Rattus norvegicus: one gene and its partners. The protein of the gene in region 1 interacts with the protein of each later gene in a biochemical or structural test. Links are inferred from orthologs where the notes say so. Each region holds a gene or a part of one and is shown in the gene's direction. Other genes may lie near its edges.

Region 1 (3,658 bases):
TTCCTGAATCTAGAGGGAAAGAAGGTGCTTAAACAAACTACACTGTTCACACAAACAGTTCTAGCACACTGAGCCATTAGTATTAGGTGGGGTAGTGATGAGGACTTTCCCTAAAATCTAAGTTCCTAGACTCCAGCCCAGGGCCACTTTTAGAAACAGGCCTCTGAAGGATGACATTGTAGTCAGCCAAGTGACTCTTGAGTTTGAAGCTGCGGTACCATATGAGGCTTTCTGTAAGCCAGTATTTGTTACTCACTGAATAGTAACTTTAGGAGTTAGGGTTTTAGATCCTTGAGCTATAATAAAGAATAAAATAAGGCAAGACAGGGTTCATATCTTTCTTTTCAGTGCTTGAGAGGCAAATAGATCTGAGTTCAAGGACAGCCAGGTCTACAAGGAAACCCTGTCTCAAAAAATAAAAATGAAAACGAAAAAAGGTTCTAACCGAGGAAGGTAAAAAATAAGGACAGATACATTATTTTTTTTAAGATTTATTCATTTATTATATATAAGTACACTGTAACTGTCTTCAGATACACCAGAAGAGGACATCGGATCTCTTTACAGATGGTGAGTCACCATGTGGTTGCTGGGAATTGAACTCAGGACCTCTGGAAGAGTAACCGGGTGCTCTTAACCGCTGAGCCCTCTCTCCAGCCCCAGATACATTATTGATACACCCAGGAGGCAGAGGCAGGCAGAGTTTGAGGCCAATCTGGTCTACATAGTAATTTCCATGACAGAGCTACATAGATAGAACCTGTCTCAAAACAATGAAGAAACCGTATAGATAAAATATAACAGTAACATACAGGGTCAATGTTGGCACTTGGCAAAGGGTAAAGGAGTAAGTTGCCCTTGGGAGTGGGGTAGTTTGCTGATTTCATTCTGCTCCTTAAGGAAGGTATCATTTCCACTCTGAGAAGTCCTGGGCAGCAGTTCACTTTACCCTAAGTGGGGATAAGAGCCAGGGAAAGGTTCTAAGCATAGGAGGGATATGACCTGACTTTGCTTTCATAACACTTACACTTATTTGTTGTTGAACCATCTGATTCTGTTTGGGGAAATCTAACTTGCAGTGCTACTCTCTAAAAGAACAGTAGGCTAAAAACCAGGTGGCTAGTCCATTGTCCACAATACTGTCCTGTCTTCTGCTTTCTTTTCCATCTCATTGTCACCATCTTTTCCATTTCAGCCCTGGCCATGTAGCATTATTTAGAATATTTTGCTAAGCCAGGGAGCCTCCTGAACTCAGGGCCTGGTTCTTCTAGCATTAGATGAATGCTCAGGGGGACAGTTCTCTTTGATGTTGAGTGAATACATCCACGTTCTACCCTCAAATGCATCTCCTCATTTCACAGAAGTTAAAGTCTGACACGGCCGCTGCAGCTGTGCGACAGATGAATCCTTACATCCAGGTGACAAGCCACCAGAACCGTGTAGGCCCTGACACGGAGCGCATCTATGATGATGATTTTTTCCAAAATTTGGATGGTGTGGCCAATGCACTGGACAATGTAGATGCCCGTAAGTTCTGAAGGCTGGTAAAGAAGGCAAGAGTGAGAATTTGGGTTTTTTTTTTTTTTTTTTTTTGGTTCTTTTTTTCCGGAGCTGGGGACCGAACCCAGGGTCTTGCGCTTCCTAGGTAAGCGCTCTACCACTGAGCTAAATCCCCAGCCCCGAATTTGGGTTTTCTTGTTCTTTCCCAATATGCCTTTCCTTGTCTCAAGACTCTCACATCCTTGTCCCCAACCCCATCATACAGGGATGTACATGGATCGCCGCTGTGTGTACTATCGGAAGCCACTGCTAGAGTCTGGCACACTGGGCACAAAGGGCAATGTGCAGGTGGTGATCCCCTTCCTGACAGAATCATACAGCTCTAGCCAGGACCCACCAGAGAAATCCATCCCCATTTGTACCCTGAAAAACTTTCCCAATGCCATCGAACACACTCTACAGGTGAGTGGTGCTTAGGGGAAAGGAAAGAGGGCAGACTGAGTTTACCAAGCCTTTGGCTTCCTGGTATTTATTTACAGGCCTAAGCATAAAATGTGTTTTCTTTTAGCACCTTTCTTTCCACCTGGAAAGTTTAGCATTTCTGAAAAGACTTACTCTTCTTGTGATTCCTACTTTTGAGGGTTTTTTTCCCAATTATGTAGAGAGGTAAAAATATCTTGGCTCATCAGTAGTTGAAAGGCTAAGGCAAGAGGATTGCTATGAGGTCAAGGCCACTTGGACTACAAAATAAGACCTTATCTGAGAAAAACAAATAAAAACAAAGGAAAGATTGGTGAATGCTGAAATATCATTCCTTATCTGAGTTTAACAGTGTTTTGCCATGTTTCTTATATTGACATGCTGGGTAGGGTTAGCATATACCTTTAATCTCAGCACTGAAGTGGCAGAGGCAGGTGGATTTTTGACTTCTACTCATTAGATATAAGTAAAACCATCCATAACAACTTAGAGGTAGCTCAGCAGTTAAGAGCAATGGCTGCTTTTCCAGAAGACCTGAGATTCCGAGCACCCACATGGCCATTCACAACGACAGTGGTGTTCCCTCCAGCTCCAAGGGATCCATTGCCCTGCATGGGTACTTCATGCATGTGAAGCACTAACATACATGCAGAATACCCATACACATAATTTTTAAAGTGGGGCTGAAGAGATGGTTTGGTGGTTAGAGAGCACTTGCTATTCTTATGGAAGATTCAGGTTCATTTTCTAACACCTATGTGGTAGCTCACAACTGTCTATAATTGCAGTTTCAGGGGATCCAATACCTTTTTCTGACCTCTGTGGGCACCTATAAACATAGCATGTATATATAAAAATCTTTGTAAAAAAATAACCTATTCCATACTTTTAGACTTAATACTTGCTGTGTAGGTGAGGTTGACCTTGAACTGATCCTTCTGAGTTCATTTCTGGAGTACTGGGATGTGCTAGCTACCGTGCATGGCTCCAAAGCACTATTTTCATGCTAAACAAAATAGTTCTTTCCCTCTCCTAGTTATTTGTCTCTAGCACATGATATTTAGGTTTCCCCATCTATCCTGCAAAACAAATTTGATGCTAGCATGTCACAATGATATTCTATATATGATACACATGGAACAGTGCTGCATATCATGAAGCTAAAATGTTATGAATTTACCATATCTATGTGATAAGTACCTAGGCCACAAGGATAGTAGTTTTCTCAGAAGAATTCTTTTTTTTTTTTTTTGGTTCTTTTTTTTCAGAGCTGGGGACTGAACCCAGGGCCTTGTGCTTCCTAGGCAAGCGCTGTACCACTGAGCTAAATCCCCAACCCCTCTCAGAAGAATTCTTAAGTTTAGTGCTGGAGTCCAACACGTTCAGGATGAATAGTAGGAATAGAGGGGTGGAAAAAGACCAATCCTATCTATCACATGCCCCCTTCTGATCCTGCTAGTCCAAAGTACCTGTGTCAATTTTGTGTGCCCACCAGTCTCACTGGGGCATGTGTAACCTTGAACTTATTTGTGCCTTAACATTTGTCCTCTCACTGGGCTGTTTTAAGTGGCACCATTTTAAGCATACATAGGGAAGAGGCTAGAGCCATGTCTTATTTCCTGAGACGTTCCTAGAGACTTAGATAGGATTTATTATTGGATTGGATCTATTTTTGTTC
Region 2 (2,698 bases), on another chromosome or scaffold:
AACGTGGGTCTGGGAGGTGGGCAGTGCTGGCACACACCTTTAATCCTAGCTATAGGAAAGCAGAGGCAGACGGATCTCTGTTTGAGGGCAGCCAGGGCTGCACAGAAAAAAACGTGTCTTAGAAAACTGAGAGATGGCGGGATACTAGCACTAAAAAATAAATGAAATGAAATGACTAAGGTGTTTAACAGGTGTTAAAGTTTAACGAGAGTTAGCTGCTCATTCCGTGGCAAGGAAGTTGTTATATGCTGATGAGTGTTGTCAGCTGATTTCCTTGAAATGGGAAGTCTTAAGGGAACTCGGAATTGTTTTGGAAGCTTATGCCCTTTAGCCACAGGAACCTGCTTCATGCCACTTCAGAAGGTTTTGCGATTCTGTTCTGTGTAATTTTTTTGTCCTCATCTGAGTCCTGTTAATATAGCATATAACTGAGCAGCATTTTCTTCTCTCTGTCTTCTAGTCTCTGTTGGATGAGCCGAATCCAAACAGTCCGGCCAATAGCCAAGCAGCACAGCTTTATCAGGAAAACAAACGGGAGTATGAGAAGAGGGTTTCGGCCATTGTTGAGCAGAGCTGGAATGACTCATAATAGACACCTGGTCTGTCCACCTTTCCATCGTCGTTGTGTATAATTTACCTCCCAGTAGGAAGGCTAGCAAGTTTTAAGTGCCACGGGTTTTAAGGATTCTGCAGAGAAAAAAGAAAAAGTCCTTCAGTTTAGAACCTACAAAAGCTTGTGTATCTTGATTAATGTACTTTTTATTGCATGGTGTGAACTAAGTTATTGCTGCATAAATTTGTAATATATCCTGTTTGTATTTTTTTCCAAGTGTATAATGTTGGTGTGGAGTTTTCATGACAGAATATACACATTTTGTAAATCTGTACTTTTTTCAAATATTGAATGCCTTATTTTTGAATTCTTTAGATTTTTAAATTGGAGAAAAGCACTTAAAGTTTTTTATATATGAATATTACATGTAAAGCTGTTAAAATACATAACTTCAGTGCAAGAGACTTTGTCACTTATTTCCTTACCTGTGCAGGAGGGACTGCCAAGTCTCTGCTCTTCGCCAGGTGAGAGCCTCATTTCCAACTGCAGAAGGTCACTCTTCTGTTTTATCAAGAAAGTCTGCAAATTTGATTCTAAAACCTATTCTGATCTCCGGCTTTATTTTGAATGTACTTATGTTAGTTCAGTTGAGTAACTATAGACTTACTGGTCTGGTTCTGTCCAGCTCTGTATTTGGGCCACTTGTTAATGTGCGTTTCTCATGTAAACTGTACCTTTTGTGACTTCACAATTGGCACCTCGTCCTCGAGCAGAGCTGACTTACTCTGCTGCGTGGCAGCACCTCCACAGGCTTTTGATTAAGAAGAAAGTAAAACCATCACCATTCACCAAATGCCGTGCCGCGGTGTTAGCAGTGGCCAGGTGCGCTGGTTTGAGCAAGGCAGAGGTTTGGAAGGAATCTCGGTGTAACTTGAATATTTGCAAACTACCTTTTAATGCGGCTGCGCGCTACCTGTTTATTCCGGAACTGTTGAGCACCAGGGCCTGCCGAGTTGCTTCTCACCTCCTCAGTTGTATTCAAGTTGTACTGCCTCTTAGTTTACTGGGTAGACTTAAAACACAGTATTGTAGAAAGCTAAGACGAAGCTATCCTATGCCTTCAAGTAGTATAGAAAATGGAAAATATACAAGTAAATTCTGTTGAACCTCTTGTGTAGTCTCTGTAGTAGTTGAAACAGCTATTGCAGTGAGCCCGAGTTTCTTGTCATCCATACCACCCTCCTAGAGACATGCTCTGGTGGCCTCTCCGCTGGAACATTGGGTTGCAGAGTGACCATGTCTTCTGTTTACAAGCAAAGTTTAAACCTGGGATGGATAAGAACTGATACTTTCCTTTAGGAGTTGTTATCCCAAGGGGTTCATGAGTTACTGGTATGTGCTGTTTCTGCAAGACCCCAATCTCCGTTCCCAGTTCCCACTTCAGACAGTTCACAGTTGCTCATAACTCCAGCTCCCCGGGGATCCAAAGCTTCTCACTAAATCAGACACTGGCATTCACATAAACAGACACTACATAATTAAAATAAAAGTATTAATTTATTAAGCTTAGAATGGTGGCACCTAACCTGCTTATATCCTTGGGAAGTTGTGGGGATCGTGGTTCTAAGCCTGGTACACATAGTGAGTTCTAGGCCACTTGGGGGACATGGTGAGACATGTGATGCTTCTGCCATTTATTTAGCTCCACAGCTTCCTTCCGGGGACTTGGACAGTAAATAAGCGGTACCTGGGAGAGGGGCTCAGCTATTTCACTAAACAACATCCTGGGTGTGTCAGCACCATATTCATTCTTAGCTATTTTCCTCATCCATTTGACAACAAACATTTCAAGTACGTACTTGATAAACAGCTAAAAGAGTTGTCAGATGGTGGACCGGCTGTTAAGTTTTGCTACCTCTCTGGCCCATCTGACTTGGAGAAAGCCCTTAGAAACATTCTATTAGTCACTCCTGTTTTGTGTTCGGTAGCGGACCAGATCTAAATTTTTACCATGCAGAAGTATCCGTTTTTTGTTCTGGATACATTTGTACAGTGAGAAGCTAGAACTAAGCAAGGCATCGAGGTCGAGATAAATGCGCGGGATTTAGATGTATGTGCTTGAGATGCATTTTCTTGGTCAGCCTG
Region 3 (3,658 bases), on another chromosome or scaffold:
CTTGTTCCTCCCCCAACCCCCTTGATCACTAATTTAGAAAATGCCTTAGAGCTGGATGTCATTTTCCCAAGGGAGGCTCCTTTCTCTGTGGTAACTCCAACTTGTGTCAAATTAACACACAAAACCAGCCAGTACAGGAGCCTTGTGAGATTACCCCACCCACATGTGTGTGTCAGCTCATGTTGTCATTGTACAGCTCTTGTTTAGTCAACCATATTTTTCTTCATATTTAGTGGATGTGGCTTCCCTGTCTCATGTAGTAGACCCTACTAACAACAGGCATCCTGGGCCTCTTTCTATCCCCCTTTCTGTGGTGTTCCTGAGCCTTAAGTGTAGGGGTTGTGTTATGGGTGTATCAGTTGGATTGGGGCATCCAAAAATCAGTTGTTCTCTACCTTAGGACTAAATGTGGATGTCTGCAGTTGTCTCCAAATGCAGTTGTTCTCTATCTAGGACTAAATGTGGATGTCTGCAGTTGTCTCCAAATGCAGTTGTTCTCTACCTTAGGACTAAATGTGGATGTCTGCAGTTGTCTCCAAATGCAGTTGTTCTCTATCTAGGACTAAATGTGGATGTCTGCAGTTGTCTCCAAATGCAGTTGTTCTCTATCTAGGACTAAATGTGGATGTCTGCAGTTGTCTCCAAATGCAGTTGTTCTCTATCTAGGACTAAATGTGGATGTCTGCAGTTGTCTCCAAATGCAGTTGTTCTCTATCTAGGACTAAATGTGGATGTCTGCAGTTGTCTCCAAATGCAGTTGTTCTCTATCTAGGACTAAATGTGGATGTCTGCAGTTGTCTCCAAATGCAGTTGTTCTCTATCTAGGACTAAATGTGGATGTCTGCAGTTGTCTCCAAATGCAGTTGTTCTCTATCTTAGGACTAAATGAGGATGTCTGCAGTTGTCTCCAACTGCTACAAAAGGAAGCTTCAGTGGGAGAGATGAAAGCGACACTTACTTGTGGGCATCAGGATCGGTGTTTAGAATACAGCTGGGAACTGCACTGGTTAAGGAGGCTGCCGTTGTGGTAGCCATGGTCCGGGATCTCGGCAGCCATGGGTAGTTGGCTGGGTTTATGGTACCAGGCATGAACTCCCTACAACAGAGGCGGCCTTAAGTCTCTCTAAATGGCTGTTAATTAAGACATGTAAGTGCCACTATTGTACCCTTGGGGGGCATCTTGCCAATGCTGGTTATTGTTATAGTTCATAAACTTTACAGCTGGGAAGGACACTGGATCAGTTTTTAACACGCAGTAGATCACAGAACTGCTCGTTTTACATAGCATTCTATAGCCCTTTTAATATGCTTTTCCCATATTACATTTGTGTTTATTTTGTGTACATGGATGTGTACGTGTGTGTTTATATACATGTCCTAGTGTACATATGAAGGTCAGAGAACACATTGCAGGAGTGGGTTCTCTCCAGTGTATACTTCCTGGGAAACCAAATTCATGACATTAGGTATGACAGCAGGCAACTTTACCAACTGAGCCATCTCACCAGGCCACATACTCTGGGATCACATCCATTTAAGTCCTTATCTACTCTAGGATCACGTCCATTTAAGTCTTATCTACCTGAGATCACGTCCATTTAAGTCCTTATCTACCTGGGATCACGTCCATTTAAGTCCTTATCTACCTGGCTCATACCCACTAACCAGCCTCTTTTCCTACTCTGTTCCTACTCAAAGCCACTGTTTCACTCTCCCTCTGAGACCAGTGCTTTACTTAACACTGTGAGATCACACAGCACTTGTTGTTCTAGACCTGACTTTGCTGAGCTCAGCACCTTCCAGGTCCACCCAAGATGCTACAAAGCCCAGACTTTCCCTCCTTCCCGACTGAAGAGCGCTGTGCTCCAGCACATTTGAGCGTGTTTATCTGCAGTGTGTAGACGTCGGACTCACCGTGCACCACTCCATTTTGCTTGTTACGCATTTATATTTACCAGTTGAATTGTTATTTTCCCGATTTTGATGAAACTAAATATTTTAAATTTTATTTCTACCTTTTAGAAATGTCTGCTGGTGTCTTTCTGATGGATTATTAATCTTTTCCCTGTTGATTGATATGAATTTATGATTGGGCCCTAAGATTTGGTCAGCTTTCCATGGTCTAAATATCATTTCTCAGTTTATAGATACTGTAAAGGTTTTACTTTTGCATGGAAGAGAAGGGAAGGGATTCTGGAAGAAGAAAAGTGGAGGGAGAAAGGGCAGAAAGCCTTCTGTAACCTGTGAGGATAACTTTTTCCCTTCTACTTTGATTGCTTAGTGAGGCGAGTTACATTTAAAATGGTATCATTGTGTAGTCTTATCTTGGTTATGATCAATTTTGTTACAGTGACTTTTGAGTAAACTCTTTCCCAAGCATTCATGATGTTGTCCACTCTGTTAGGATATCATCATAGTTAATAACCTGATAAAACAAAAAGAACCCTGGGAAACCTCCAGTTATTTTGGGTTTCCCCTGCCCATGAGGAGCTTTAAAGATCAGAAACACTGAGCAAACCCTGTACCACTGAGCTAGGCCCCCAGTGCCAAGAGCTAAATTAAAGTCATACTGTGGCCCTGATGCTCACTGGGAAGAATTAGCACCATTCACACTCGGCTTTATTCTTCTTAGTGAATTTGCTGGAGACATGGGTGTATGTTGGCCATTCACAGTCATATGACCTGCCCAGCCATTAGCCTGTCATTGCCAACAAATGTGTAGTTAGTTAGTAGCTAAAATCTATTCCTCAAGAAATGTTTATTCTAGGGAGGAACAGAGAAGAAGTTATAAAATACAATCATAAAATAACATGTCTTATCTAGGATATGGGGTAGTAGGGGGAAGAGGTTCCAAATGGCTGGGTCTTCAGAATGGTGGCTGTTCCCTGGTGTCTGTCAGGGACAGTCTGTGCTCTCAGTGCTTAGAGGGTTTGGGCCAGCCACTTTGCATTACCCTTTCTCACTTGGAAATTCTCTGCTATTGACCCAGAGCTGTGTCACCCCTCTCAGGTCTTCACACATAATCCCACATTCAGGCAAGGCCAGTGTCCTCGGAGACGTCTTCCATAGCGTTTGGGTTGCGAGCAGGACCTTCGGATCTGCTGGATTACATAATACCAGCATGTTGTATTTATAGGATGATGATGTTGACAGGAACAATATGATAGATAAAATTAATGTGTTGACTTTATTATGTTTTATGAAATGGCTCAATTTATTATTACCATATATTTTTTTAATTCCAAACTTTATGTAATTTCTAAGCACATCTCATTTGTGTGTCTTATTTCAGTGCTGGACCCAAAGGAGACAACATTTATGAATGGAGGTCAACTATATTGGGACCCCCAGGATCTGTCTATGAAGGAGGGGTGTTCTTTCTTGACATTACCTTTTCACCAGACTATCCGTTTAAACCCCCTAAGGTCAGTATGATGCATTGCCCGTTTTTAACATTCTGTGTTGTGATATGTATATACTGAACATATGTATATATCTATATATATGCACATCTGCTCTGTTGGCGTAGGCTGCTTCCCCGTACCCACTGTGCTTAAAAGGAAACGAGACGTGAGAAACCGTACGTCGTTCCTCTATCTTAACTTTACATGGGTTTCATTGCTCTTTCTCATTATCTCTTTTCTGCATATACAAGTAA

The links.
Region 2: of the proteins of Uba1 (region 1) and Ube2b, one has a biochemical effect on the other in vitro, tested with the Homo sapiens proteins (10 studies listed by BioGRID, with this or other methods). The link is inferred for Rattus norvegicus from reciprocal best matches to the Homo sapiens genes UBA1 and UBE2B.
Region 3: of the proteins of Uba1 (region 1) and Ube2e2, one has a biochemical effect on the other in vitro, tested with the Homo sapiens proteins (4 studies listed by BioGRID, with this or other methods). The link is inferred for Rattus norvegicus from reciprocal best matches to the Homo sapiens genes UBA1 and UBE2E2.

The regions. Positions count from the first base shown.
Region 1 is NC_086039.1:4,067,036-4,070,693, reverse strand, and holds part of Uba1 (ubiquitin-like modifier-activating enzyme 1), read left to right. Parts: intron 1-1,361; coding exon 1,362-1,527; intron 1,528-1,765; coding exon 1,766-1,962; intron 1,963-3,658. UniProt on the Homo sapiens protein: Catalyzes the first step in ubiquitin conjugation to mark cellular proteins for degradation through the ubiquitin-proteasome system.
Region 2 is NC_086028.1:36,748,792-36,751,489, reverse strand, and holds the end of Ube2b (ubiquitin-conjugating enzyme E2 B), read left to right. Parts: intron 1-460; coding exon 461-589; 3' UTR 590-2,125; downstream 2,126-2,698. UniProt on the Homo sapiens protein: E2 ubiquitin-conjugating enzyme that accepts ubiquitin from the ubiquitin-activating enzyme E1 and transfers it to a E3 ubiquitin-protein ligase. In vitro catalyzes 'Lys-11'-, as well as 'Lys-48'- and 'Lys-63'-linked polyubiquitination.
Region 3 is NC_086033.1:9,627,978-9,631,635, forward strand, and holds part of Ube2e2 (ubiquitin-conjugating enzyme E2 E2), read left to right. Parts: intron 1-3,292; coding exon 3,293-3,425; intron 3,426-3,658.